Linked DNA regions of Drosophila melanogaster. The protein of the gene in region 3 interacts with the protein of the main gene of each other region in a pairwise test. Each region holds a gene or a part of one and is shown on either strand. Other genes may lie near its edges.

Evidence for each region. Proteins that work in one complex are often made in the same cells at the same time.
Region 1: the proteins of Argk2 (region 3) and Jheh1 interact in a two-hybrid assay, tested with the Drosophila melanogaster proteins (one large-scale study listed by BioGRID).
Region 2: the proteins of Argk2 (region 3) and CG3842 interact in a two-hybrid assay, tested with the Drosophila melanogaster proteins (one large-scale study listed by BioGRID).

Annotation. Positions count from the first base shown.
Region 1 is NT_033778.4:18,852,900-18,859,054, forward strand, and holds Jheh1 (juvenile hormone epoxide hydrolase 1), read right to left. Parts: upstream 2,189-6,155; 5' UTR 2,155-2,188; coding exon 1,945-2,154; exon of another isoform or gene 1,889-1,944; coding exon 1,689-1,888; exon of another isoform or gene 1,635-1,688; coding exon 1,424-1,634; exon of another isoform or gene 1,366-1,423; coding exon 562-1,365; 3' UTR 535-561; downstream 1-534. Other genes in the region: Jheh2 (juvenile hormone epoxide hydrolase 2), read right to left, coding at 3,007-3,792, 3,985-4,192, 4,305-4,504, 4,754-4,951.
Region 2 is NC_004354.4:6,334,033-6,343,795, reverse strand, and holds CG3842 (uncharacterized protein), read right to left. Parts: upstream 6,035-9,763; 5' UTR 5,333-6,034; intron 4,301-5,332; exon of another isoform or gene 4,205-4,300; intron 2,737-4,204; 5' UTR 2,453-2,736; intron 1,734-2,452; 5' UTR 1,659-1,733; coding exon 438-1,658; 3' UTR 65-437; downstream 1-64.
Region 3 is NT_037436.4:9,044,345-9,051,443, forward strand, and holds Argk2 (arginine kinase 2), read left to right. Parts: upstream 1-3,094; 5' UTR 3,095-3,151; coding exon 3,152-4,318; 3' UTR 4,319-4,380; downstream 4,381-7,099. Other genes in the region: Doc1 (Dorsocross1), read left to right, coding at 1-513; Argk1 (arginine kinase 1), read right to left, coding at 4,932-6,015.

The DNA.
Region 1 (6,155 bases), on a different chromosome or scaffold from region 3:
CTTCTGGACCAGCCTGTATCTCACACAAATCCTGTATTCCAAATTTGTAATTGTTTAATATTCCTATATATTCTTGACCATCTGCGCAGCCACTTTAACTCCGATTCCCGATTGTAATGTTCCAGGATCAGGGATGGGAGGTAACTTCACGCGTGTACCTGGCCCTAAAACAAGGTACCCTTTTCAGTATTTTGTGTTTGCTGAGGTACAACATTTAAAAAATACCGATAATGATAAAAATTAAACTATGTCCCGATTATTCTTCTAAAAATTTAATCTATGCGTTCCATAGAAACTAAACCAAATTATTATTATTATGAAAAATATGAATGAATTGTTTTGGACTTATTCATTGAAGTGTATATAACAAATTAAATATTCCTAATACAACATTGAATATTAAGGTTAAATAGAAAAGTGAAAAGTTGAAAGTGGAAAACGGTAACATCTACTACTATTTTTCCGGGTACCTAGTCATTTCCAGGATCAAAACCATTTAGGTTATCGATACCAAATAAAAACTAATTTTTTTTTGTAACAATTAAGCTTTTATTGGAAGATCTACAGAGTCTTAATTTTAAACTTACGTTCCACCGTTTCGACAAAGTCTATAAAATCCTTGTATAGAACCTTTGGAACCTCTAGAGCGGCAAAGTGCCCGCCCTTTTTGTGGTAAGTGCTGTGCACTAGGTTCGTGTACTTATCCTTCAACTGGACATCCAGGAACTGCATAATGTCGCTCTTGAAACGGGCACATCCAGTTGGCACTCGGGTGGGAACCCGATCCAGGTGCAGGTCCCGCTGTGCCTGGGCATACTGCTCGGCATAGAGACGCTGGGAGGTGGTAATCGAATTGGTCAGGTAGTAGATCATCAGGTTGTCCAGCAGGGCATCCATTTTGTAGCGCTTAGTGAGTCCTCCATCTGGCAGAGATCGGTAGCTGGGATTTGTCCACGTGGAGAACTTCTCCAGAATGTAGGCGGCCAGACCCACTGGGTTATCGGTGAGGGCGGCTCCGATGGTGTCCGGTTTGGTGGCCTGGATGTGGAAGTAGCCACTCTCCTCCATTAGGTATCTCATCTCGTTAGACTTGGGAAAGAAGAAATCTTCAAAGCCAGAGGGCACAAACAAACTGGGCCAAAATTCGGCCACTAAACCCTTAGCCAGCGACTTCGGACTCAAATTGTTGCACATGTTCGAGTGGTAGCCCAGCACGTTTTCCGGATACAAGGTGGCAATGTTGCTGCCAATAATGCTGCCCCAGTCTCCACCCTGGATAAAGAATTTGTTGTATCCCAAACGCAGCATAAGATTCCTCATCATCACCGCCACTTGAGCGGGACCCAGTCCTTTTCTGGAGGTGCCCTGCAGGATAAGAGACAGATAAGCCTATAATACACTACGTAGATTGGACAAAACCCACCTGTGACCAGCCATAACCTGGTAAACTCGGAACCACGACGTTAAAGATGTACTTGTTATTATTGTCCAGATTGGTCTGATGCAGCAAATGTATGAAATCGTAAAACTCCCGCACCGATCCCGGCCATCCGTGGAGCAGCAACACCGGATAGTGTTTCTTACCCACTTTGTTGTCATCATAAACCATCAGGTGGAGGAAGTGTGTGCGTAGCCTAAAACCCCATCGTTACTATCTGTGCATATGATAAGTGGGCACCTTATCTTACCCCTGAATATCGGTGGTGAAGTGATTGAACTGCCAAAGGAACACCTCGCGTTCGCGCCAACGCGGCAGGTAGTCATCGCGCCAGTACTCCACGACCTCCTTAAGGTAATTCGTATTGAATCCGTACTCAAAAGCCACGCCCTCGAGCGGAGGCGTAAGGCGCAGGGTGCGATTGAGACGCTCTTTCAAATCAGCAATGGTCTGCACATGGTATGAGTTAGTATATAGTACATAATAATGGATAGACCCCCACTTACCTTATCCGGATAACTAAGCCTATTGCCTATCACCTCCGAATTGTTCTTCAAATAGGCCTCGTAATCCTTGGGCTGCGCCTCATCGCCCCACCACTCCTGGGGATCCAACTTTGGTGCGGGCAAGTCCGCCCATAGTTGGGTCACATTCCTATAGACCAGCCCACCGGCAATGGCCAGTATCAAGACCAGAATTTTAACAGTGACACCCATCTGTTCCTATCAGCGGTTCCACTCAGACTGTCTCGGATAGCAGCTACGATTCCACTGATTCTACCATATCATCGTGGGCGCAGCTCTCGTTTTCGACGCTCATGATGATAAGCGACTTTGAGTGACCACCCTACGCCGATCAGTTGGGGCTTATCGCGGGTTTACTTTGGACTCGACTCCACTGAGACGGAGTAGCGGCTTTCCACATCGGGGATGACTCGAATGAATCGGCTTGTTTGTTTATTTACTCAACAAAGCTTACATGCCGGTTTTTGGTTTGAAGCTTTTACGGGTAAAGACCGGAGGGGTATGTATGTATGTATGTACTATATGTATAAAGAATGAGACCCGCGAATTGTTTTTGTATATTTTGCGACGCAGCTGGGCTACCAGGTTAGCTAAAAAATACCCCTTATTTTCGAACTACACTGGGGTAGACTGAACATGTGTGAGATCTTTGTTGCCAAGTAAAATTTGATGTTCATTTGGTTTAATATCACTCTACTGTCATTTAGTTAAGTAATAATTCAACATATTACATGATTTCTTATAAAGGGTACACCAATGTCGACTATAGCCCATGGGAATAAGTTACGTAACATCGTTCCGAGCTTAGATATATCATATATGTACATATACTTATGAAAGCAAACACCACACACTGCCCTTTTGCTCGCCACTCGTGTATTCCAAACAAAAAACTCTTCAACTTTCGGTTTTCAAAGCAGATAAGGCAAATACAATCACCAAGTCGATTTGATTTAATTTTTGCAACAAACATAACCGTTTCTTTCAAGAATCACGATGAAAATGTACAATGGACTTCTATAACTAATGATAAACAATTTTGTTTTATGAGAAATTGGCTTTCTGGACAAAAGACACAAAGTCGTCGTACAGCTGCTGGGGCAGCTCAAAAGCGGGAAAGTGACCTCCATCCCGGTGGTGGGTACTGTGCACCAGATTGGGGAACTTGTTGGCCAAAACCGAGTCGGAGAAATGTGTGATCTCATGGGCGAAACGGGTGCAGCCAGCCTTGGCCTTGATGGGCACGGAGTCCACGGCCAGTGCAAACTGCGAGGCAACCATTGATTCGGAATACAGACGCATGGAGGTGGTAATGGAGTTGGTCACATAATAGATCATCACATTGTCCAGAAGCTGATCGTAGGTAAATCTCTTGGTCAGACCACCGTCAGGAAGCGATCTAAATGCCGTATTCGTCCATGTGGAGAACTTCTCCAGAATATAGCTAGCCAGACCAGTTGGATTGTCGATCAAAGCATTGCCGATGGTGTCTGGCTTGGAGGCCTGAATGTGGGCATAGCCCATCTCCTCCATTATGGTGCTAAACAAGTGACCGAGTCCCTTGTAGAAGTCCGCATACTCGCTGTCCACAAACCAGCTGGGGAAAAAGGAGGCCAGCACCATCTTCAACTGACCCATAGGGCTGTTATTTCCGCACATATTAGAATGATAGCCCAGCACGTTTTCCGGAAAAAGTGAGGCTACATTGGATCCAATTATGGAACCCCAATCGCCACCCTGCACCAGAAACTTATCGAATCCCACTCGGAGCATCAGGTTGCGCATCACCACCGCCACTTGCGCCACACCGAATCCAGTTTTTGAAGAGCCCTGGAGTTGGAAAAATATAAAATTAGTCATTTTTCAATTTGTAATTTGGAGAAGGTTGTGTAATAACTTGTCTACCTAAGTGCTATATATTAATGCCATAGTAAGAGATAAGTTCTATGGCTTACGGCTTTTGGAGAATATAGCATTACTTGGTTAGCAATTTATTGTTGTCCCTTTGGAAACAAATCTAACCTGAGACCATCCGTAGCCGGGCAGACTGGGTGCAATAACCTCGAAGACGTAGTCGCTCTTGTCACTGGGCGTGGTCAGGAGAGGGATGAAGTCGTAGAATTCGCGAACGGTTCCCGGCCATCCGTGCATCAGAAGCAGAGGCAGCACCTTCTTGGGCTTTTGGCCTTTCACCTGGCTTGGCTTGGCATGAATAAAATGAATTTTTAAACTGCAAAAAAATGGAAAAACATTTGGGGTTAACTTTTCATGTTAATTTGCAAAAGCAGGCGACTAATTAAGCGTGGAACACTTCGGTTTTCCATAAGTTCTGTCGCACTCACCCCTGAATTTCCGTTTGGTAGTGATCCAGCTTCTTGAGGTACTCCTCCCGTTCGCTCCATTTGGGCAGATATGTATCGCGCCAGTATTTCACCACCTTGGCCAGTTCGTTGGCATTGAATCCGTATTGGAAACCCACACCCTCCAGTGGCGCCTGCGCTTTCAAAGGACGACTCAGCTGACCGATTAGATCCTCAATAACCTTTGATAAGAAGTGATGAAGGATATTAAAAAAATTATATAACTTAAATTAAATTATTAAATCAAATATAACTTTAAATAGTATGAATTTGTACAAATTACCATAAATTCTGTATAATTAATGATACTTGCATACCAGCATGATTCGAAATATTTACATATACTATACATTCATAGCTTTGATTGCATATCATACTGATTTGATATTTTGCATTTGTATATATGCATTTGTGTATGTATATTTATTTACCTCTGGCTTTACGCTGATGTCGAAGGGTAGGATGGCCTTGTTCTCCCGATAAGGTTCCTTCAATGTTGGACCCCAGTAGGCGTTGTTGTCCAGATCGGGTCTCTTGCCGGGCGCCGAGAGATCGCGATAGTTCTTATAGCCAACGGCCACCAGGATGGTCAGAGCTCCGACCAAGATTCGTGGCCAGATGTTCGCCATTGTGTGTTTATGCTATATTCTTTATATATTCTATATACACAGATCGGCGAACTGCGCAACTCCTCGCTTACGATCGTCGAGCACAAATGATTTGTAAAGCGCAAGCTACCGGCAAACAAAAGCTTTTTGTTGGCTTGTGGATTTCAAGTGGATCGTATTCCACACGGCAATGCAATGCGAGCATGATTGGACAAATAATTTGAGAATTTCGGCGAGCTTTTGGCAACAAATTGAGTGAGAGCAATTTTTGTACTTAAAATTTACATTTAGTTTAGGAAGATGATCAAGCAGTTCCATTTATCAATCCACGAAAGTAAAGTGAACAAGAAACGATTCATGCTTAAAATGAAATTGTTATATGACATTTAACTAAATACTGATTTAATTAATTAATAATGATTAAGAACTCGAATTACCAACACGCGGAGCCCTTAATATATACAGAGGTGGTCAAAAGTATTTTCACAACGCACAATATTTGCAAACTTCAACTTCTTTTTGTTATATTTCTTCTTGTTGTTGTCCGATTTGCCTGAAATAGTTCTTATCGCTTAGCTTGATCTATGCAGAAGGTAGTCGAAAAGAAATACGAAAGATAACGGTTCATAGTACAAAGCTTAAAGCAAAAGAAAATATGCATGCAAGTTGTCAATAGTATTTTCACATGTTTATTGCGCTTCAAAAGTATTTTCACTCAACTTAATTTAGTAAATTTCAGCTTAACATCTAATTTCAACATAAGAATTTTTTTTATTTTATATAAATACAATACTAATATTTTGTAACACCACCTTTGGCATCAATAACTGCTTGAAGTCTTTTTGGTATTGACCTTACCAAAGTTTGTGCAAATTCTAATGTCAATTTGGACCAAATCTCCGCTATTACAATGATGGCTCCCTCTCGTTTTCTATTTTTATCAATAGTTCGTTAGTTTTTAATAAAAGCCCAAACGTTTTCAATGATATTAAGGTCTGGGCTTTGGGGGGGCCACGGAAGAACCGCCAGATTAAGGTCGTTTAAAAATTTTGTTGGTATCCTACCCTTATGGCATGGAGCATTGTCCTGCTGAAGAATCCATTCAGTAGTTGGAAAAAGTCTATTTCCAGACGTAAAAGCATGGTTGTTTAAGATAAGAAGGTATCCGTTCTGATTTAAAGTTCCTTCTATCGGTACCAAGTCTCCGAATCCATAATAGGAAAGA
Region 2 (9,763 bases), on a different chromosome or scaffold from region 3:
GGGGGGGGGCGACAGGAATGGAGAGAGCAACAGAAAGAGGAGAGTCGAAAACAGGATTGCATGTCAGGTTTAACTTTTATTTTAATGGGTTTTCTTTTCCTTAAAATTATGTACAGAACGAGAGCGACAAAAAAAAAAACAAGAGAGTATGCAAAAGCTAACTTCGATTGACCGAAGACTCAAATACCCTGGGAAATCAACAATTTTAAACATAGTTAATTAATATAGAACGTGGATTATACAATATCAAGAACCGAATTCTTTCAATAATCTCATGTGAAAATCAAACATAAATATATTACTATATATCTCTATAAATTAGACCCGAATCGGCCTCATTCCGCACTGGGTATTTCCAAGGGTACTCAAGCACGCCATATTACAGGGAATTAAATTAAGAGCAAGGTCTGCACTCCAATGAAGGACTCTGACCACAACTACGAACGATTGACCACGACCGTTTCCACGGATTGCATTTCCCGTGAAGCGGGATTGTTACTACTGGCACTGGCACTGGCACTGGAACTACCATTGCCGTTTTGAGTGCCATTGCCATTCTGGGTGGGGCTCTGGACAGGTGGAGGTGGCTCCAGCGGTGGCAGACCCAGCAGCTTCTCGCTCTCTCGCCACAACCAGTCGGCGGTCTGCATATTCCGGACCCACGGAAACAATGGCCAGCGCATGCAGTCCGAGTAATAGCCACCAGTGGAGCCCTCCAACTGCGGATCCAGCGCCAATCTCAGCTGGGTCTGGGCGCCAGCCTTGGGTGTCTTAAAGAAGTACAGCGAGCCCTTCTGCAGGGCGGTCTTCATCCAGCCGGGACCGGAAAAGTGGCGGTTGATCTCGGTGCGGACCACACCCGGATGACAACAGTTCACCGTTACGCCGGTGTCCTTAAGGATGGTGCTCAGCTTGAGGGTAAACAGGATGTTGGCCAGCTTGGACTGACTGTACGCCCCAAAGAACTTGCTGTAGTTCTTCTCGCTCATCAGATCCTCGCGGTTGATTCGCCCAAAGAGATGTGCCGCCGAACTGACCACCACAATGCGACTGGGCGAGCTGTGCTTCAGTCGATCCAGCAGCAGATTCGTGAGCAAAAAGTGTCCCAGATGATTGACACCGAACTGCTGCTCAAAGCCATCGGCTGTGAGGGTCCTGGGACAGGCCATAACGCCGGCATTATTGATCAGTATATCCAGCCGGGATTCCTCCGCCTTGAAGCGCTCCACGAAATTTCTCACCGACTGCAGGGAGCCCAGATCCAGGGTGCGATTGAAGAGCTGCTGGTTGCGACTGCGATCCATGATATCCAGTCGTGCGGCCTCACACCGACCGGGATCCCGACAGGCCATGTAGACGCGGGCACCCCGCTTGGCCAACTCGAGGACCGTCTCCTTGCCAATGCCCGTGTTGCAGCCGGTGACGATGACCACCTTGCCATCGATGCGATTGGCCTTCCGGTAGGCCGGTCCTTGGATGCACTTGCGCAGCAGCCACATGAAGAGCAATATGCCCAGAACAATCAGGAATATCAGCACGGCCCAGGCCCAGAAACCCCGGAAGCAGAGAGTCTTCTCCACCGATTCGGCAGTGGGATCGAAGCCAGGTGGGAATACTGTTCCTGGCACTGATCCTGGGGGCGTGGCAGCCTCCGACATAGCTGGCTAAGCGATGGATTCGATACACAATCTCTGGTTTCCCCCGTCAGTGTTCTCTTCCGCTTTAGTCGAATTCTAAAAGAGAGTAAGAGAGAAAGAGAGAGAGAGGGAGGAAAAGAAAGTTGTAAGTTAACCCATTAAAAGCGGAAAAGGGGTAGGGTACAAAAGAAATAAGTCAAGAGGCGACGGTCACCACCGGCGGGGAGGGACGTGGAGGGGTCGGTTAGGTGAGTTAGCAAGTTAAAGGCCCCCCTGACCCCGAAATCTCGGGTGGTTTTGCACCTGAGCAACTAAACAACTGGTTTCTCGTAATTCACTTAATTCGTTCGTTGCTGTCACACCATGACAATGCAAAAATGGCTCAATCAAATTGAGCGCTTAGACTTTGGATACCGGTTGGTATTGGAAACTTAACGAGTAATTGTTTTACAGACCGAATTAAAAATTCATAAACTATTCTAAGCTAGCTTGTATTCACTTCGAATGATCGTTTATGCATGGGAATGATAAGTGTGCGAGAATTAATTTAATTTTATTAACATTAAGCTGCTCATAGTTTTTATAGAAACCTAAAACAATATCAATTATTCAAATATAATTGAATTAAGGGAATGTGTGTAAGTCGGTCAAATTTCGAGCCAAAGAACTTTCTCTATGGCAAATGGAATTAACACCTGAACTTTTTCCTTCAGCCAAATAAGTTATTGATTTATCAAAATGGAAATTCAATTCGATTTTTGTACATAGCACTGAAAAAAAAAAACGATTTAACGATTAGCCCACCAAAGACTTACCCGTATGAAAAGATATGTTTTTTTGGAATGCTGTAATAACAACTAACAACTTTTTAGGGGGATGTCAGTCAGGTGGCAATTTCGCTCATTTCCCATGGGCGGCCGACTATATTTGCTCTATCAGTTAGTACGGGTGATATGAAAGTCTAGTTACTGGGCTACTCCCTCCGTGTGTCTAAGCCTCTCGCGCGATCTTGGGCAACTGACTGCCGTGGAGTCCAATTGCTCAGCGCCTGACTTCGATATCCAGCGGTTCCGAGCCGTGTTAACGCGTCAGAAATAACCTGAAATAAAATTATTCCGAGGCGTCTGTTATTAACATGCTGCCTCTGCCGCGGTTGGATATGTACTAGGGTGGACCTGTTTGCCATCTTTGTGTAGCTAAATTACATATTTTGTTGCTTGGACGATGATAATAAATATCACAAAACGGAATTTATTTAGAAAGGGGTGCTAAGTGGAATGGGGAACCTATGCGTATTAGTAATCACTCATACGCAGTGTTGCCAAACATTTTTTATAATCAGTTTGCATACTTTTACAGAGTCTTAACTGCTTTATGGTTTCGAAATGTATTGTTTTACATGTTATTATGATTTAATTTTTATAGATATTATTTAAGAAGGGGCTACGGGTCGTATGAGTAATGTAATATTCTCTTAATATAAAGGTGTCGGGTATTTTCTCAACAAGCCTATTAAGGACCACCCTAATTGGTTACAGCGGCTCTCAGTCGGCGTCGCAGTCGTTGGTTGTATTTGTTGTTGTGGCCAACATACCAAAGAGAAGAGCAACTTGGCTTGGCTTCAATTTCATTTTTTACCAATTTTCTCTGTTCGCCTTCTCCTTTTCTGTTTTTGTGTTCGACTTTCACTTGAAACGTTTTTTTTTTCTCTTTTCCCTCGGCCCGTTTGTTTTGCTCACACGTTCTTAAGCCGCGCTCGCTTCGATGCCTTCTGCGGTCTTCTTCTTCTCTTTCGCTTCGTCTCTCTACCTCTCCTTTCGCATTCCAATTCGTAGCACGTTTTTGTTTTCAAATCGCTTAAATAGACAAGGCGATTAAGTGCACAGCAAGAAAACTATGTTGGCCTAAAATGTAGACTATTTCATTTATTATGAATATATCTACTATTTACCAAGAAGTTAAGACAGATTGACAAAATTTCCATTTGTAAAAATAGTTGTAAACATGTAAGCGCTGTTTTTTATGTGTAAGCGAGACAACAACAAGTCTGGTGTGCGGTCAAGAGGGGCTAACAAGTGGGGGGAGGGGATCACTGACCCCGCGTTGAAGCCAAGGCCAAAACGTTGTAATATTCATTTTCACCTGGGCAATTATATTTGCACTCAAAACCTGCACTTTGACTGTAATGGCAAACAATGAAAACGCCGGAAAGTGTCCAATGGAAATTGAAGCAGGACGGAAATCGATAAATGTCGCTAATCGAAGGCTGGATACGGGTGAATGTCCTTGACACGGGCCAAAAGGCAAGTCGCAGGGGTCACGGGACCAAAGCCGGCTTACATTTTCCCCCCCGGTTCAGAATTTTTGGCTACGTGCTGGCTCACACGTTTCAAAAAATCGAAAAAAAAAACGCGAGAAGGAGAGTGGAAAAGTGGTGGGGATGATGGGGTAAGAATTTAGAAGAGAGAGGAAACCGGATAACAGGATTGGCATGGGAGTGGTTGAAACAGTTTCTTATGGGGTGTATTGTATCCATACATGCGGAACTTCAGAACTTATTTACTCACTTTCAAGCGATGATGTGGTATAAGTATTTATTATTTTTTTTTAAAAAGACGTTTTTAAAGACGTGCTCGTCTGCCTTTAAATAGCACAGTGAGTGAGCGTATGCTTAGGCATCTCTACTTTTTATAGAGGATCCCATTCAGCGGCTTATCTACAGTTCTTATCGGCTGCAAAAGCTGCAATATAGTCATACAAAATTTATGTTCCACACAAGACGGCCCGTCCCACACGATCGGCAATCAGTGGTGTTTTGACCTTTTTAAACTAATGCACTGGTCGATTTTACACTGTAAAACCAAAAAGCTTGCTAAATTCATTTAGTTACACAACTTTTTGTCAATTTATAGTGGATAATCAAATGAATGCACAGGTAAATGAAGCTCATACTAAAACATGCACTTTTGACATGCAATAATTAAATAACTGTGATGGGCTTGAACTTTGCAAAAGGGCTGGGTAGGGAAGCCCCCTTCCTGGCCACCCACTCTACGCATATGGCGAGAGAGAGGGAGAGAGAGAGCGAGAGCAGGGCGTAGAGTAAATGTCACTGCGCTCGAGAGAGCGCGAGAGAGGCGAACTTTGACTAGGTCAGGATAACGGGTCCTTTTCGCGTCCTTCTCCTCGCCCTGCTCATTCGCGTTGTTTAATCGATGAGCAGAGCGAAAGCTGTGCCCTTTGCCACCGGCCACACCCCCTGCAACGCCCCCCGTAATCCTTGCTCTCTTTCGCCGTCCCTTTCTAGCGAGATTTTGGGAATTTTCCACTGACAATGCAGATGGGCGTTTTTATTTTGTTCGTTCTTGGCCGGTTTGTTCAATTGAGAACATTAATTCGATTCCTGATTGAGTCACATTAATTTCGATGGAGGGAACAAGAAAAGAAAAGAGGCGCGTGACTGTGGCTTTTCTTATTGAAATGATTAATCTTAGTCTGGAAAAGATTAAGCAGAGAAGCGAGCTCAAGAAACACAAGAAACATAACATTTGAGCAAATGTGCACATATTTATGTATTTTATATTAATATAAAATACTTTTTTTTTATAAATATGCTCATAGAATGCATATTCTATGTAAATCGTATTTAATTGACTAGTTATTGCACGGTACAGCTTAAAGGATTCTTTACTCACGACTCGTACGTTATGTATTATCCTCGTTGGTTACACTTAAGTGCGCTTATCTCGTTTTCCACTTTGCGTCCGTTTTGCTGTCGTCAGTTTGTCGCTAATTCCCGTTGACAGTTGTCGGCCACGCTAACAAACAAAAAAAAACAGTGAATAAATAAAAACGAATGTCAACTCACCCCTGACCCCTGGCATCAGGATAAGCCCCGCTAGTTGGTCCTCTGGGCCAGATGCGGTGACGTCAATGGAATTCGGGTTAGGCAACATCACCTTGATCTTGGGCTAAACAACAGATCGGGGTAAACAATGGGGGCTGCCAAAAGATTAAAACACGCGAAACGTAAACAACGACTATCAACGCAGGGGGCAACTGTACTTGTTGTTGGAACATTTTCATGAGAACTCCTTGATCCTTCAACTTTTCCATTCATATTTTTCATTATGCTATACAAAAAACTGAAACAAATTGTTATCGGTCAAAGGGTAATCAAAGCATTGAGTAATGCAAATTCATAATAGAAAAATTCTCACTGTTACACTCTTCAATTAGATAATCACTGAACTGACCAACCGCAAAAACTGAAACCACGTAATCAAATTACTCTGTGCTTGGTGGCGGGAACGGGGTAACCAGGGGTTAATCAGCACAACACACACATTGCTGGCGTCATTGTATCGCGCTTATAAGAGGAACGAACTGGAAATTGTTCAATAAATGTTCAATTCAGCATCACGTTGAATGCGGCACGCGAGTTAAGTCCGTGATCGAGGGTGGAGCCTTTTGTGAAGATATGATGTGTAAATGTATGAAGGTTTTTAAGTTTCAGCAGATAGTTGTAGTGTGAAGATTTCCAATAAAGAATACGACTGACTTTCTTGAAGTTCAAAATCAGTATGAAGTTTATTGTCAGAGAGTGGCTACTCGAGTCCTCCGTTTTCGTCTTATACATAAGTACATAGGTTCTTAATTGTAAGCATAATGAACATGCCGACTCGGCATGTGGCTGGCTAGCTGGGGACAATGTTGCAGTGCGACTTTTGTGTAATGTCAGCATTCGGCCGGAATGTCAGCATTCGGCCGGATGCGGTGTTCCAGTTGCCGTCTTCCCGGTTGAGTGTCCGATGATTTGTTTAGAGGCGTGGGGGTTTAGGGGGTGGGGTGGTAACTCCTCCCCCCCCAGTTCGAAGTGACGGCCATAGCGAAGGTATGGATGACGCGTAGATTGGTACGTGATGATCCTCGTGGATGTGGACGATGTGTTTCGTTCGTCGGTGCAGCCATAAGATGACTGCTAGGAACGTTACCAATCCGAGCAGAGTGTAGAGTGTCCAGGTGTGCTGTATAGTATTGTGATGGACGGCCAGGATTTTATCCATTGTTTGGGTGGCTTCGAGGTGCAGTTTTTCTAGGCTTAGTACCGTAATAGTGGTATTCCTAGTTACTTTTCGCATGGGGGGAAGATCAAAATCCGTCTGTTCAGGGAACGTGTCAACCGTGCCGTCGTAATCGATACCGTTAATCTGTATTGTTTCGTTAATGTATCTGATGATGGCTGACCCCATTATTGAGAGCTCGGAGCCGTTTGTTAGGGATACCTTCAGTTTGTTCACGTTGAATGCGAAGATGTAACCTCTCTCTGCCTCGAACACGTCGGTGATGGGGCCGGTTTCCCGTACATCGCAGGAACTGTTTTCTCCGTTCAAAAGGTGTTCCAGGCATGTGTTGTTCTGTGGTGTATCAACGTAGAAGTTCTCGTCGCACAAGAATGTATTATCCAGTTTGGGGCATTTACGGGTCATATGAAATTTCTTATTATTAATATTATAAGCTAGGTAATTTGGGGTTATTACAAAATATGTGTTATTTATTGGTAATGGAACTAGTCTGGCGAGGGTATGAAAAGGTTGTTTAAAAATTGGGACTTTGATATTAAAAATAATCTTTTGTTCGTAATTTAGTGTATTCATTTGTAGGAAATTGTATATACTTTGTTCATTTTTGACTGTGATATTTTGTTTTTCCAGTATTGTTTTTATTTTATCCATTTCTTGTTCATTTAGGATGAACTTGGGAATTATATTTATTTTCGCCAATAGCATACTTTCTGTTATGTCGTTTAGGTGGTTAATGAATAATTCTATGTTATAATTAATCCTATTTAAATATTGTATTTCTTCCAGAAGGGTATCTTGTAAGTTTAAGTGTTTGTATATTTTGTTTTGTGAGGTATCAAAGAATTTACTTATCAAAATTTGTTCATTATTTATATGGTCCGTGATATTTTCGAACCGGATAAGTATTTCGTTGTTAAACATTACTTGTTTTTGGAGATTGTCGTTACTGACTTCGGAATTTTTCTTTATATTGTCAAGTTCTTCATGTATTTCTTTATTGTCGTTGGCATCCATGTTGCCGGTAACCACCTTTACTAGACTCCCCAATCCGTTAATCAAACCCCGTTTGTTTCTATATGAAGGTGTAAGGGCTTTGAGCTTTACTTGGGCTTGGGTTAATTTGGTTTTTAAAATTGTGACGGAGTCCGTCAACGTGGAATCGGGGTTAAATTTATTAATGGTCAGATGGAATTGTTCCATACATCTGCTGTAGTCTTGTAGGTTGATTACATGACTAATTATTTTGTACCTCTCAATTAGTAAGGCTTTCCCTAGTTCTATCTTGGCTATAGGGGCGTTATCATTTAAATAATGGACATGGATAGCCTGAGTTGGCACAAGGGTGAACAGGTAGGTAATTATTAATAGGTAGGACATCCTACCGGCTGCGCCAGTTAAGTCCGTGATCGAGGGTGGAGCCTTTTGTGAAGATATGATGTGTAAATGTATGAAGGTTTTTAAGTTTCAGCAGATAGTTGTAGTGTGAAGATTTCCAATAAAGAATACGACTGACTTTCTTGAAGTTCAAAATCAGTATGAAGTTTATTGTCAGAGAGTGGCTACTCGAGTCCTCCGTTTTCGTCTTATACATAAGTACATAGGTTCTTAATTGTAAGCATAATGAACATGCCGACTCGGCATGTGGCTGGCTAGCTGGGGACAATGTTGCAGTGCGACTTTTGTGTAATGTCAGCATTCGGCCGGAATGTCAGCATTCGGCCGGATGCGGTGTTCCAGTTGCCGTCTTCCCGGTTGAGTGTCCGATGATTTGTTTAGAGGCGTGGGGGTTTAGGGGGTGGGGTGGTAACTCGCGCACAGCTCAAAAACGCAAAAACACTAAAACAATGAAAAACAAAAAAAAAAAATGGTGGGACAGTGGGGCTGCAGGGGGTTAATTCCAATAAAAACCTGTTGCCTCGCATAAACATAGAAACACAAAAGTTTCCCCACCCATTCCCTTGCCCCCCTCCCCCTCACCTTATTTTCAAACCGCCTGTTTTTCGTCTTCAAGTGATTCGTAAATCAGCGAATAAAAAAAGATCGAAACGTGGGGAAAAACAGAAATTTTTTGTAAAAGAACCAGAGAAAACCAAGAAGCGGAAAAAAAGGAAAACAATAACAAAATGATGTAGGGACCCTGCTTAGAATATACTGCTATTATTGGGTACTAATATTAATAATTCCTGCAGCAAAAGTTTCACTTATTATGTATATAGGGAAAAGATGAAAAGATGGTTAATGGAATATTATCCAAAAAAGTGTCTGGTTCTAAAGATTTACATCTATAAAATATGTTGTGTGCGTAGAAAGCGAAATGAAATGAAATCGGCATCAAGTGTTTCTCAAATTCCAACACTAGATCTACATATGATGTACATACAATGTATATTGCCCGACAATTAGGTTGGGTTGTTGTTCTGTTGATGCACCGAGTGTGTTGTTTATGCTGACAATGGAGAAAACAAGCAGGCAGATGGGGAATTTCCATGGGTAGGAAGAGATGCAGTATTCGATTGGCATTGGCGAAAGGAATTGCACAACAATGGTGATATAACCGAGACGGGCAAATCTAGCCTTACACACGAATCAGCACCAATGCATCGAAATCACAATCATATCTGAGTAATGTACATATGTACATAAGTCAAATGGACATCACATGCACATTATACAGCCATTCATTTGCCCCAAAAACCATGGCAGGGCCACTAAATCAAACAGATGACATTTATGAATGCATGTCATTAAACTATCTGATATAGTATATGTATTTATGCCGGATATTTAGATATCCAACTGCGTATCGGCTTTTACAGCCGTGTGAAGTTGAAAATCTGTTGGCTAACCAACTCGAACTGGATCCAGAAAACACCAGAATATCAAAAGATAACAGCTGACTGGGCAAATTGCTGGGATAAACAAACAGATAAGGCATTCTGCAACTCTAAGAATCATATTTTCATAATATTTAATCAAGTGCAACTGTGTTTGCATTGCACTATTGTCATTGATATTAGGTTTATGTACACTTATGTACATTCA
Region 3 (7,099 bases):
AACGATCGCATCACCAAATTGAAGATCGATAACAATCCGTTCGCTAAGGGTTTCCGCGAGTCGGGTCAATCCCGCTGCAAAAGGAAGCTGAACAGCAGCGGAAACTCGACGCTGGAGTCGGAGGATGATGGCTCCAGTGTGAGCAGCTGCGATTCTCCGCAGGCGAAGCGCCAGCGCCAGGATTTTGAGCAGGACTCAACGGGTAGTGTTTCGCCAGCTTACTATGGAGCAACTCATCCAGTTGCCAATCCTATGTCGCCGTATCTCCGCCATCACTTGAGCTATGGACCCAGTGGAGCTGCCGGATTGCCGCCCAGCATTGCAGCTGCCTATTTTGGTGGAGTTCCTCCGCAGATTCTGCCAATGCCACCAGCCACATATGCGCCAACTGTCGCGCCTGTTAGTCCTGTGGCCTCGCAACCCGTTGGCTCCAGCACACCCACAACATCACCAAGGCCTTCAACCTCAACGAAAAGAAATAGCTTCAGCATTTCAGCCATTTTGGCCTATTGAAAGAAATATTTGGTAAACATACTTAAGTTGGAGTCATCTTCTGTTGTGATTAGTGAGAAACGTGTGCATATACTTTGTAAGCTAATCTATGCTACATATAAGATCGTTTAAGAACCAAGCTGCAATCATATACATTGTTAATTCGTTTTAAGAGTCTTTGGTCAAAATAAACAAATCAGACATCGAATCCGTAGAAAATGCAAAACTATTTGCGGGGGGGGGGGGAGCAACGGTAACCTTCAGCGTTTCCGTTTTTACAGGTTTTTGGCCATATCGCAGTGCCTGGGCCAAAAGCAGTTATGCGACCGCTTTGGCGGGCCTAAGACAAATTAATGCTCTCCATTATGGTGACCAGTCGGTTCTCGAGTCACACGTATCTGAAAAACATCCAACTCCGGTAGTAGTTAAAGCAATTCTCCAAAGATAAGGCGTCCATTATGAGCAGCGATTTGACGGCTTTCAGGCTGTTTGGTCTTTGCCGACTCCCAGCTCCCCTGCGATTCCATCCGCATCCCTGGGACACAGAGATGACGCAGAGGTGGGTGCACGGAGAAAAAAAAGTATCACACATTTCAATTCAACTAAGTAAGTTTTGGCTTATGGTATTGCTAATAGAAATGGTTTTTAAAGTAAATTTAAAGAAAGAAAAATTCAACATTCATCTGATCATTTCAAAATCGAAGCACTTTTCTTGCAGTGCACTTGCTGCTGTTGCCGTCTTGTGAAATTTTCGTTTTATCGCACCTTTTATGGCCATTGGCCAGGCCAAAACGAAGTGGGAGCTGGCCAAGAAACCGAAACAGAAACCGATGCCGAGTCGGTTGGAGAGACTTTGGTGTGGTCACTCCTTGTGTGCATTATCGTGTCAAATGCGACAAATCTGTCTGTGGCCCGGCGGCTGCCTTTCAGCTTGCATAATTGAGCTGATAACTCGGCGCTCCGTGGATGTGTGCGGTCCACTTTTGAGCGTTTCCTAAACGGTGGCGCCAAACATTTCGTGTTTAATATTTTTAATTAAGTTTTTAAGTGCATCCAGAAGGAGATGGGACCACAGAGAATTTATCTAGCCAGTCGTTGCGGATAGTTCAAAGGGGCAACGAATCGATTTGGCTTCCATTCATAGAAATCGATGCATATATTATGCATAATGTAAGCCAAATCAGCGCGAAATAATTCACCAGCCACACGAAGCCGCGTTTCAAGCGGCTTTTTGACTAATTTGGGCTTAGTTTTGTATTAGCGCTTTGTGTTTCTCCTCGTCTTCGATTGGATTTGTTGGTGCATAAATTTACATTTGAAATGCTGAAACAATTAAATTATGGGATTTGCACGTTTTCACCCAAAAACAAAAGGGGCCAAAACAACATCAAATCACATTCGTTGTCGGCGTCTGTGCCTCAGAAGTGTTTTTTTTTTTTAATGTTAGGTGTTTTTTTGCTGACTCGCTGCTGGCTTCTTTTTGAAAAAACGGTGGCAAAAAGCGTCAAAATTCGTAGATTATGAGATAAAAATGGAAATCGAAGTCGCTCCGGTATTGCATTTCTAATTTGCGCTTGTTTTAATATACTTAATGAATTTTTATGTGTAGGTTGGTCCAATACTCATGCCCAAATCCAAATCCGGTTTTCGTTCGAAGCTGTTGATAATGATAATGAGGATAACGATGCTTTATTGAGGAGGTGTTGCCGTTCGGATCTGAATTTTATTTGCGCCACATGTTAGCATATTGTTGTTGCCGCTGCCGCTTTTGTTGTTCTTTATTGCTAATTATAATATATTTGATTTGGTATTTAAGCTTTAAGCTATAAAAATGTTCGCATTCTCTGTTTTACGAGCCAACAGCTTGCAAATATTCAATTAAATTGTGCGAACGAGAACAGGTCGAGGTGGATTGTGAAAACTAATCATAATTAACACACCTTTTTCTATAATGTTCTAAGTATTTTATTGAAATAAAAAAAGTCAAAAGGAAATAAAACATAGTTTTTGGTTTTGATGGCTTCTACACCCGTATTAAACATATTATATAATTACATTAGTAATATATATCTTAGAAAGTCTACATTTAAACAGAAGAACTGAGTGTTTTAAAACCAGTATTTGAGCTACCAATTTTCGATGGGTTTTGTATACATTTCTTAAGCATTTCCCTGTATTTTACATATTTTACGCATTATTTTACACATAATATTTTACATTTGCCATGTATTTTACAATGGTTTGGAGCCGTGCTATATGAGTACACTATCAAACAAAATTGTTTCTTAAATGCATTATTGTATTTTTAAAAACCATTAAGTGAATATCATATAACGGTTCTTTAAAAAAGTATCAATGAAAATGATTTCTTTACTTTAGCGCAAAACCATAGTTGTGAAAACAATTTTTAAATCCATGAGGAACTCAAGTATATCAAAATTTACTTTATACTTTATTTATTTCAAATTTACTTGTACATAGATTGAGTCTTTGCTTAGCAATCTCCTTTCCGATATCTATTAAAGTGGAGTTTTCAACCGTCTGTTTTTTGTTCGTACTAAATGGCGTTTTACTAGATTTATTCTAGCCATTTGGTTTAATGTCACTTTCTAACTTAGGGTCAGCCTGGCCGGTGTCATTCCAAATTCAACACCTAAAAATGCTGTTACATTTAAAACTCCGGCTTGAACTTCAATTACTAGGCCGCTGTGCGCAGCTAGTAATCAATCGCCATGCCAGCAAAGGAAATGTGGACAAGGAGGTGATGGAGCAAATGGAGAAGGGCTACAAGAAGTTGGCCGAGTCGAAATCCAAGTCCCTGCTGAAGAAGCATCTCACCAAGGAGATCTTCGAGAAGCTAAAGACGAAGACTACACCCTCGTTCAACTCCACACTGCTGCACTGCATCAGTTCGGGAATGTGCAATCATGACTCCGGCGTTGGGCTCTACGCCCCCGATCCGGAGGCATATAAGGTGTTTGCCGATCTCTTTGATCCCGTCATCGAGGAATACCATAAGTGCTTCAAGAAGACGGACAAACAGCCGGCGACTGCTTTCGGCAAAGGCGCGGATTTTGAAAACCTAGATCCCGATGGCCATTTCATCGTATCCACGCGTGTCCGTTGCGGAAGAGCCGTCAAAGGATACCCCTTCAATCCCTGCTTAACGGAGGCTGACTACATGGAGCTGGAGAGTAAGATTTGTGGGGCAGTGACTAGCCTCACCGGAGAGTACAAGGGTAAATACATGCCATTGACTGGAATGGATAAATGCATACAGGAGCAGCTCATAGAGGATCACTATCTGTTCAAGGAGGGCGATCGATTTCTGGCTTCCGCTGGAGCCTCTCGATATTGGCCAACGGGAAGGGGCATCTTTCTGAATAGCGCCAAGAACTTTCTGGTCTGGTGCAACGAGGAGGACCACATACGCATCATCTCGATGGAGAAGGGTGGCGACCTGGGCAAGGTCTACGATCGCATGGTTGGCGGCGTGGAGGCTCTCGGCAAGCAGCTGCAATTCAACAGGGATGAACGACTTGGCTTTTTAACCTTCTGTCCCACCAATCTGGGCACTTCTATTCGCGCCTCGGTGCACATCAAGCTGCCCAATCTAATGTGTGATCCCGACGAGATGAAAAAGCTGGCCGACAAGTATCGTCTACAAATCAGAGGAACCTCGGGCGAGCACTCAGAGGCCAAGGGCGGAGTGCACGATATATCCAACCAACGCAGGATGGGACTAACCGAATACGAAATCATCAAAGAGATGCACGATGGAATCAAGGGTCTCATAGAAGCCGAGTGTAAGGCAAAGTCAGCTTAGTTGTAAAGCGTGAAGTGTACAAAAGGTTAAAGGCCGTGATGAACTCTAAATAAATAATAAACTAAATATTTGTATACCCTATATGTCCTCTATATCCATTGAATACAAAACATTCATTGAGTTTTAAGTTTTTTTTTTATTTTTTTTTTAATAATTTTAATTCTTTTATAAACTTAAGACTTAAATAAAAGTATTTAAAGTTCCTTTTTTTGTTTTTGCTTGACACAGATGTCAAAATGTTTTACATTGTTTGGTTGTAATTAAGCAAATGTTTTTGTCAAATAGTTATCCGTTGTTGCTGCTGCTGCTGTAGGTGTTGATGGTGTTGCAAGATGGGATCCCTGCCTGCGCCCGCGACCCTCAAAGTATACGAAAATGCCGAAGGTTGCCGGACTGGGACAGCAGCTCCACACCATAGCTACAAACTAGACATATTTGCAGTTCGAACCGCCCAAAAGCGACAAGGCGGACGAGCCGAAGATTTCTAAGTGTTGCTGTTGTTGTTCTTGATTGTTGCGTATGCCCCGAACTGGTGGCACCCGTGGATAGATGTTAACTCCGGAGGCGATGCACCTCCAGCCGGGGGGACGATGCTCGGCGGTTGGCGGGCAATTTACAGGCTCTTCTCGAGCTTGATCAGCTCGGTGATGCCATCGTACATCTCCTTGACGGCCTCGAACTCGGTCAGACCCATGCGACGCTTGTTGGAGATGTCGTAGACACCACCCTCAGCCTCGGTGTGCTCACCGCGGGTTCCGCGCACCTGCAGGTTGTACTTGGCGGCAACCTCCTCCAGCTTGGCCTTGTTGGATGCCAGCTTGGGCACCTTGATGTGCACGGAGGCACGGATGGTGGTGCCCAGGTTGGTGGGGCAGAAGGTCAGGAAACCGAGACGGTCGTCGTGGCTGAATGGCACACGCTTCTCGATTTCGTTGACGGCGGTCACCAGACGCTTGTAGATCTGGCCCAGATCACCACCCTGCTGCATGGAGATGATGCGGAGATGGTCCTCCTCGTTGCACCAGACCAGGAAGGTCTTGGCATCGTTGTGGTAGATGCCACGGCCGCTGGGCCAGAAGCGGCAGGCGTTGGCGGCCTGCAGGAAACGATCGCCCTCCTTGAACAGGAAGTGGTCGTCGATCAGCTGCTGCTGGACGGCCTTCTCCATGCCAGTCAGGGGGTAGAACTTGCCCTTCAGCTCACCTTCCAGACCGGACAGGGTGCTGCTGACCTTGCTTTCCATCTCCTTGTACTGGGCCTCGGTCAAGCAGGGGTTGAAGGGGTATCCCTGCATGGAGCGACCGCAACGCACGCGAGTGGAGATCACGTACTCGTTGGTGGGGTCAACGTTGCCGAAGGTGGACACATCGCCAAAGTTGGAGGCCGGGTGCTTGTCGGTCTTCTTGAAGCCACCATGGTAGTCCTCGATGATGGGATCGAACAGGTCGGCGAACACTGTGTAAGCCTCGGCATCGGGAGCGTAGATGCCGACGCCGGAATCGTGGTTCTCCAGGCCAGACTGGATCACATCCAGCAGGGTCGACTTGAAGGTGGGCGTGACCTTGTTCTTCAGGTTGTCGAAGACCTCCTTGGTCAGGTACTTCTTCAACAGCGACTTGGAGTCGGAGGCAGCCAACTTGGCATAACCCTCCTCCAGTTTAGCGAGAACAGCGGCATCAACCATGGTGTCTTGTTTGCTGCAAAAATACGTAGAGAGAAGGAGAGAATGGGGTATTGACCATTAGTAAAAGGGCGTGGCTGGGGCGACAGTACAACATTTTATTGCTACAAAGGACTCGCCTATCTTCATTTTGTGGCGCCCAAAAGTCGGCAACATGTTTTCTTGTGTTTCTGTTTTCCTCAATTCCTGCCTGTTTGCCCCGCAATTAGTTTCGGGTTATGGCCATGTGCTCATACTCGACTTGGGTCTGTGGCACGCGACTGCCACATATACCCACGCTCCCTTTCCCCTTCAGCTCGCTACACCCAGAAAGCAGTACCCAGAACCGAACACCCATCACCCTTGATCCCACAACGCCCCTTTTTTAGTGGTGGTGACTCTGGTTTTGTTTCTCGATTGTGTCCTGCTTTCGGTGGTGGCTGACTGACTATAAAATTTTGCCGGCTGCCGCTGAATACGCAAATCGACGGCACACTATACACCCACCACCGCCCTCTGCCTTCCTCCTGTCGAAGGACATGCGCACTACAACAACATGGCTACCCAGCCGAAGTCCTGGACAAAACGAAGGACCAGGGCAATAATAATTTTTTTATGGCACTTTATTTTTGGCCGCTTTTTCGACAGAGCAGCGTTCATGCACTTACACACACACACACATGACGTCAGCCCCCTTCGGTCGGTCGGTCACCCAACCAGGGGATATACAGACAACTCCTGTCTAGGAGTCGTAGGCCCACTACAAAAAAAATTGAATATAAGAGCCCGGAACTCCGGGATACACACCCATCTCCTCCAGCGCCAGCTGCCGTGGCGGTACCATTGGGTTCGCCATTGGCCACCTCGCCCTCGATCACCTTCTCCTTTTTGTCCTTGGAGGCGCAGAGACCCATTTCGCGTGTGGTGTTTTTTTTTTGTAGGGTTTGATGTAAAGTTTTCAAAAAACGTTTAAAAATTTGGCGTTTGCTTGGTCACAAAGTCGGTATTTTGTATATAGAAAAAACCAATCTTCGTATGTTTGGTTGCGTTTGCAGGTAAAATGAAATCACAATGCAGCTTTAGCTCTTCAAGGATCTCGTTTTGGGATCCTTATTTTAGAA